2 linked regions of the Drosophila melanogaster genome follow. The protein of the gene in region 1 interacts with the protein of each later gene in a pairwise test. Each region holds a gene or a part of one and is shown in the gene's direction. Other genes may lie near its edges. The genes, in order: CG10068 and Tpc1.

Region 1 (3,926 bases):
ACCTCAAATTTGCCTGCAAATAAAGATATACAAAAACTTAAGTGGTGGATATTTATTTGTATGCAAGACACTCACCGTCGTGCAACGTTCCCCAGAGTCTTCCGTTTTCCATCCGCATTCTCAATGCCTTATCGGTCAGCCAGCTAGCTAGCAAAGTATAGAAGCAACCGCGTCCAGTGGTGGTCACTAACTGAGCGATACAGGTTTACGACTAGGCAACATATATTTTTAAATGGAAGCTTTAAAAACCTAGCACATAGACGCCATCTAATCTAATCGCATGGGCACGCGAGTTTTTAGATGATACCGTCAACGAAGCGAACTTAATAGAGCACTTTAAAATAATCAGAGATATGCAACGCGCATTTAGTCTTAGTTGTACAATCGTAACATTGCAATTGCACGCTTTAAGCTTGATAAACAAATAAAAGACCTTATTTACAAATTTGTTTATTTACCCACAACTCTTTTAACTATAAATTCGCTTGTATAAATAAAAAGTTATCGGTACTCTTATATCATTCTGTATACAAAGCCTTTTCCAATTTTACCTCGGGCTCCATGAGGACTGTGGCTTCTTTAATTTTTTTCCGAGTATCTGATGCACTTTTATGCCTGAGATTTTTGTAAACTCGGAACGCCAGTCTGATTTCAGCGACGTAGTCATCTCTAAAATATTCTACCTGCTTTTGAGCTTCTGAAATTTAATGAATTTTAATTTAAAAAAGAAGTCATATATGTATATGTATGTGCTATAAACAAAGCGTTGTTGAAATTTCCAAACTCCTTGAGATGTATTTTATTGTGGATGCCGTCAAAATTGAAATCAACCAAAAAGTCTAGGGCGAGTATAAGATGAAATTGTTTTTTGAAACCTCCAGGTCGGGGTGACCCACCGAACCACCGGGTTTCAAAATGTTTCGCATGGTTTGAATCTAGGTAATAGAAAACACTTTATAAAGAATGCTCAAACTGAATGTTTAAATTTACTTAAATCAATGATTTGATGGGATCATTCATTTCCTCTTCCATCTTCTCTATTTGTTCCAAGTTCTTTAGTCGAAATAGTTGAGGTGACCAGCCTCCCGGTTCAGCAGGACTCATCATGTGTCGCATGCTACTGATGGAAAGTATTTGAGGTCCTGGAGAATCAGTTGGTTGAGCCGTCAGTTGGCTGGAAACAGGAAAAATTTTAACAATACCAGAAAAGTTCAGAAAACTCAATATATCAAATATATCAAAATCAATATCGGGGCGAAGAACGTAATTGGAGTTTCAATCAATCCGTCCAATTCTGTCAAATTTATGAATATAAATACGAACAAACAGAGTTTGCTTACACTATTAAGTTCTTAGTAAGCAATTAGGATTATAACAGCAGTGTGACCGTTTGTTGAGCAGAATGTTAAGTAAATAGTTGCAGAAGCATGTGAGGGGGACTCCATCCTTTTCGAAAATCTATTTTCAATTATAGAACTATATGTAAAACGATTAGAATTAAGGCATAATTAAAGTGCCTCTTTAAAGTAAAGAAAACTTCAGAATGTTATCAAGAATACCTCAAATGCCGTCCATATTTCCGCTATTTACAACACTGCCTGATCAGCTGTTTGGTTTTTTTTAATAATACATTGGATTTGTTATTGTTGCGAGTCAATCATAAAAGCTTTCTAAAGACAACTCTCAAAAGTGCAATATAGTAGATAGAAACATAAGGCTGTGATCAAAAGCCAATCCTGATGTGTTGCCCTGGCAACCGGGCGCAAACAAACGAAATCGGGAAATCTAATTAGTTCTCTTCGCCGCCTTAGTAAAATGTTTATTCTCGACCGAATACTGCCTTTTATTTTTAGCTATATAAGGCCCTTTATAAAGTGGTTCCTGCACGCCTTCACCAGGCTCTCGGAGCTCCAGAGGATTTGCTATGGAGCGAAGGCCGGAGCCAGCCGAACCAGCCAGGTGGAAAGGTCCCTCACATTGTCCAAAAGGCCGCAGATACGACGACTTGTACTTGACCTTGATGAGGCGGCGCCATATGTGAGCAACGCGGAGCTGCTGGATTTCGGTTAGTCCAAGGAATAGTATAATCTCTGTGCACAAAGCACCATAATCATTACAAGCTTACACTAAGTTAAATATTATTAATCATTACCCAATACTTTCAGCTCCTCGCGCTGCTCGCATTGTGATGCAGGCGAAACGCATCAAGAACAATGTCCACCCGGATTTTGCTCGGCTCTTCGGCACATGCGTGACGAGTATCTGGGGCTACCGCAGACTGATGCATCAGGTGGAACAGCTGCGGGCGGAGAAATACGACTCGGATAACCTCGACCACGAGCAAAAGCTGTTGCGATTGTGGCAACTGCTGATGCCAGACACTCCCCTCACCGGTCGCGTGACCAAACAGTGGCAGGACATCGGCTTCCAGGGCGACGATCCGAAGACGGACTTTCGGGGAATGGGCATGCTCGGGCTAGAGAACCTTCTCTACTTTGCAACTGCCTATAACGACGCCGCCAAACATGTCCTGCTGCACTCGATGCATCCCACCCTGGGTTACACCTACGCCATTGTCGGCATTAACCTCACCTCCATGGCCTTCAATCTAGTGAAAACGGGCGCCGCCAAAACCCACTTCTACAATTTGGTGGTGCAGCACAGACAGGACTTTAGCACCGTGGAGGATTTCCACAAGTTGTACTGCTATCTGTTCTTCGAGTTTGACCGCTTTTGGATGGAGAGCGACCCACGAAACATTATGGACTTCCGCGAGATTTACCAGTCATTTGAAATTACAAAACTAGAGGCCTTGCACAATGATAGCACTATTTTTAAGACCAATTTGGTTGTAGAATCCGTCTAAAAACACGAATAGGTCAATTAATGTGAAAATGAATTTGTATCTCGCTGTATCTGAATAATTTCTAACTCTGACGATATTGGGAATTGATTGAATCAGATCAGGCTGACCATTTTTGTAAATACATGTTTAGAGTGGGGCTAAATAAAATAATTATCTTGTCATTTTTCAATTTAAATTATCAATTCATTTCGCTTCTAAATCACTTTGTAATAAAAAAAAAAGGAATCCTAAAATAAGTATCCAAATACGACAAGCCCTTTTAATTTTTGTATAAATGCAGATTTTATGCGTTTATTTGAGAGCCATATATAATGTATATTTGTATATGTATTCATATATATTTGAATGCAAGTATGTAAATCGTTAAACTAAGCCTGGAATGTCACACAATAATACTTTAAATTCAAGTCGGAGATTGCCCACTGAGACAGAATAAATAATAATTTAAATATCACGCAAAAGCATAAAAACTAAACGAAATAAAATCAGTAGAGATTGCACAAGAAAATATTTTGACGACTAAAGCCTATTTGGTAATGCCATAAGAATGCTCAAGTCAAATCCCGATGCTCAATAGAGCTTGCAAGCTAGTTTTTGGAGTATCCATATAGATAGTATTCGTTGGTCTAGCGATAGAACTTGACTTCCGCCTCGACACAGTCCTTGAGCAGTTCGTCCAGCTCGTCACTGGCGTGATCCTGCAGAGAGAAATAGTTATTTAGCTCGTCCACGCAGGAGAGCTCCAAGCTGCGCAAGTGCTCCAAGGCGGCCGGCTTGCGTTGCGAGTGTAGCTTGTGCAGCAACGTCAAGTCCGCTTCCGCTTGCACTTGGGTTAGCGGCGAGATCCTCGGATTTGGGGCAAAAACGAACGGCTTAAACACAGACTCGGCGGCATTGGGCGTCCCGGTGAACCAATGGCATGAGATTCCCTTCACCGACAGCACCGAAACGGTAGCCGCCCTCGAGCTGCTCGCATTACTGGCGGATCGCAGCGTCTCGAACATGTCGTGCTGGGTATATGTTCCATCGCCAGCTGGCTTGGGACCACACCAATCCACTG
Region 2 (3,926 bases), 3.8 Mb from region 1:
TTGTAGTGTATAGGTAGCATTTTGGGTCAATTAGGCGTAATTCATGCAGATATACATATATATATAAATTTATACAAATCCCATTAGCAAGCTAAGTGGACCCTAGCCATCGGTTCAAATTCAAATAATCAAATATTTCCTAGGGTATCAAATAGTCGAGCCTTAGCAGCGCTTTAATTTGATGGTGAACTTTATTAGGTAGCATTCGTTTTTTTTATGCTTCTGATTAAATTATTGTTAGTTCATTAACAAAGACAGTTGTTTGTAGCTGAGCAATTTTCCAATACAATTCTACATCCGAAACACACAAAAGGTCCAAGGTCAATGGCAATTAAACTAAATGCATAATTGAATTACATACCCGGCAGTACAGACAAATTAATCCAATTGCAGCGATCTTTATAACCATAAATGGATACGGCGAGACGCGTTGGCAGGAAAGCGAGGAGCGAGTGGGAGAGGATGGGAAGACGACCAAGTCCCTGGTGACCCACACCACCACCGAGGTCTACTACAGCACTGACCAGCCGGTTTACGGCCAGGCCGGTGGCTCGCAGCTGGAGTTGCCCACCGGCAAGTACGTCTTTCCCTTCCGGGCTACCATTCCGCCCAATGCACCCACCTCATTCAATGGTGCTCATGGTCAGATTAAGCACGAGGTTACCCTAACCATCGATCGCGCGGTTCGCTACAACAACACATTTAAGCAGTGCTTCACGGTGATCCTGCCACATGATCTTAATAGGCGGCTCGAGTATAAGGTATGTAGTCTTGGTTGTTCTTCCAAACTGAATAACCTTATGAAGCGCACTTCCCTTAGGAACCCCTCCAACGCTTGGAGTCGAAGAGCTTCTGGTGGGGCTCCATTTTCGGTGCCCACAAGCCGATGATCATGGACGTGAGCACCTCTTATTCTGCCTACGTCCCCGGCCAGAAGATTCATTTCCATCTGGTGTTGGACAACCAGTCGGATGTCCAATGTATGGACGTGAAGGTGCGTCTGATCAAGAACGTCTCATATAGAGCCAACTCATCGGGCGCAAAGGAGCAGTTGAAGGTAACCGAATCTCGGGTGGCGGACAAGCACTGCGGTGAGGTGCTGAAGCACAACAAGGCCAAGTTCGATGAGTTCCTCACGGTGCCGCCAACTACTCCATCCACGCAAAGCGAAAAGGATCCCATTCGAGTTAGCTACACATTGCGATTCATCGCCAAGACCTTCAAGCTGCACGGTGGTGGCGACTTGGTCATGGACTTTCCAATAACCATTGGCACAGTGCCGCTGCTGGGAAGTGCTGATGACAAGGGGCCCGGGGCGGAGAAGTCCCAGCCCAGTGGTGCCTCTCATCCAGGTGGGTTTTGCACTAAAGAAAGCATAATCGAAAGTGTTATTAATCGACGTTTCTCCGGCTTAGGCTCACCCAACTTTCAGGAGGACGTCAGCGATGAGCAATTCGAGTCCAACACCTTTAAGCCAAGATATCCCGTCTATCCATTTGATGGGAAGCCTGGAACCAATGGCTCAAACGGGGCAGCTAATTTTCCCAGTCTTTATCCCAAGGCAGAGGAGGCGCATCCTGCTACGCCTGTGAAATTCACACCAAATCCTGTGTCGCCAGCCGCACAAAAATCGCCACCATATACGACCAACACACCTGTTGCTTCTCCGCCAGGCGGTAATTTTGAGGTGCTTGGATTCAGTATACCACCAGACTATAAACCCACGCCTAGTGCTCCAGCCGCCTCTTCCACTGGCGGCATTGGGTGGAAATAGGGACCATAACTTAACCATTTTGTATTCTACACCTTAAGGCATTTTTAAATATACAAGAAAGCCCGCATAAGTGGCAACGCTGTGCATGTGACAGCTATATTAATATCGATAGTTAGTATCATTTTAATCCTAAATGGCCTTTTATTAACTCGAGTATAAACATAGTGATCTGGTTTCAGGAATTATGCTTACTATTAAAAAATATTTATGTTCCCAATTAAGAAAACCCTAAAACTGAATTTTAGCTTCTAGCTATTTTCTTACTATTGTTGTCAACCACGATAGCCGATAGTTGCCATCGCTGTTCGCTAAAAGCTCATCGCCAGCGGCTCGAACAGCTGATTCCGTGCACTTGGCGACGTAATTTAGTTTGTTTTGTTGTTGTTGCGTAGAGGTTTGAAGCAGCGCGTCTTGAATTCGGAAAACCAGTTTGTGGAAGTGGGAAGCGGCCAACTTGGACAGCGGCAGCAGGGGATTGACACAACTGCAACGGCATCTCAACGGCGGCGCTATTACAAGTCTGGCGAAAAGAAAGTTTTGACGCAATCCACGGGCCGCCGCCTGTAATGAAGAAGCGTCGGCGCCGCAGTCACTGCTGCACTCTGCCCGCGAACGGACGCATCTGCTCCAGGTGAGCTCAGATTGTAGTGCGCTGCTCTGGACATTCAGCAACATCATCATCATCACCATCGAGCGTGTTGCCAATGCCTTTGTCTCTTTATCTGAGCAGCAGCATCGGAATTTTGGGAACTGGACAACGGTCGCCGAGACATCGAACAACAAAAGCGGAAAAAAGTGAAATCGCTGATAAACCCGAATACCAACCGAGCTATTGTCAATCAATGAACGGCCGTTTGAACCTGGAGTCAACTTGGGAGCTCTGCGAATTGGCGGGCAATTGGCCATAACCGACCGAGATAATAGTGAAGTAATCGCAGAGACATACGCACGCTCCGTGGAGCATGATACTTGTAAGTCTCATCCTCAGATGAATTCCACTCCTACTATTTCCCAATTCCTGTCTACGCACTTGTACACAACAATTTGTCCATCGACTTTGATGAATGTGTGTAAACAAGTCGAAGTTTGCGCCCTGCCGCACCTCTAAAACGTTTTGAATGAAAGCTACAGGCAAGCTTTGCTAAGTCGGATTTTCGAAAACTCCATCTTTGATACCAGTAAAACCTAGCATATTTCATTTTTATCAAGAAACAATCTTAAGCTTTCTTTTTAACAGCATCTACCTTGAATTTCACAAGAGTCAAGTAAATTACAAGTAACCTTCAAAACAAATTCTTTATGATAATATATAAGCTATACCTATTAGATCCAGCCTCATAGAAGTTGCTAAGTCCGAGTTAATAGTTGCATCTACATAGTTCCGACTGTAATAACGTCTCCACCTGTCTGCGTTTCTTTATTTTCAGAAATGCCATTGAAAAGTTGGCAGTCGCAGCAATAAAAGTGAAATCCGCACGAGCAAACATACGCACACGAAAAGCAAAACCAAAGGTAGCTCCGACGCAGACATGGCGGTAACCACAGGCTCCACCAGTGAGGCGACCACAACCACAACTCCCGTTCCGCGACGCAAGCACAGTACGCGGGAGCAGCTGCATCAAATGCTGGCCGGTGGACTTTCGGCGGCCATTACGCGCTCCACCTGCCAGCCGCTGGACGTGCTAAAGATCCGCTTCCAGCTGCAGGTGGAGCCGCTGGGCAAGAACGCCGCCAAGGAGGGACCAGGAGCCCTTACCTCCAAATACACATCCATCGGACAGGCGGTGAAAACCATATACCGCGAGGAGGGAATGTTGGCCTTCTGGAAGGGACACAATCCTGCCCAAGTGCTGAGCATAATGTACGGCATTTGTCAGTTCTGGACGTACGAGCAGCTCAGCCTGATGGCCAAACAGACCAGCTATCTGGCGGATCATCAGCATCTATCGAACTTCCTGTGCGGCGCTGCGGCCGGAGGAGCAGCAGTGATCATATCCACGCCGCTGGACGTCATCCGCACTCGTCTGATTGCCCAGGACACCAGCAAGGGATACAGGAATGCAACAAGGGCTGTGTCGGCGATTGTCCGCCAGGAGGGACCTCGCGGCATGTACCGCGGTCTGTCCTCCGCCCTGCTGCAAATAACGCCGCT

The links.
Region 2: the proteins of CG10068 (region 1) and Tpc1 interact in a two-hybrid assay, tested with the Drosophila melanogaster proteins (one large-scale study listed by BioGRID).

Annotation. Positions count from the first base shown.
Region 1 is NT_033777.3:7,125,712-7,129,637, reverse strand, and holds CG10068 (uncharacterized protein), read left to right. Parts: upstream 1-1,610; 5' UTR 1,611-1,815; coding exon 1,816-2,065; intron 2,066-2,165; coding exon 2,166-2,866; 3' UTR 2,867-3,367; downstream 3,368-3,926. Other genes in the region: CG31248 (uncharacterized protein), read right to left, coding at 1-13, 76-118; CG10098 (uncharacterized protein), read right to left, coding at 3,493-3,926.
Region 2 is NT_033777.3:10,880,382-10,884,307, reverse strand, and holds the start of Tpc1 (thiamine pyrophosphate carrier protein 1), read left to right. Parts: upstream 1-2,119; 5' UTR 2,120-2,745; intron 2,746-3,201; 5' UTR 3,202-3,303; coding exon 3,304-3,926. Other genes in the region: CG14696 (uncharacterized protein), read left to right, coding at 394-761, 821-1,352, 1,416-1,774.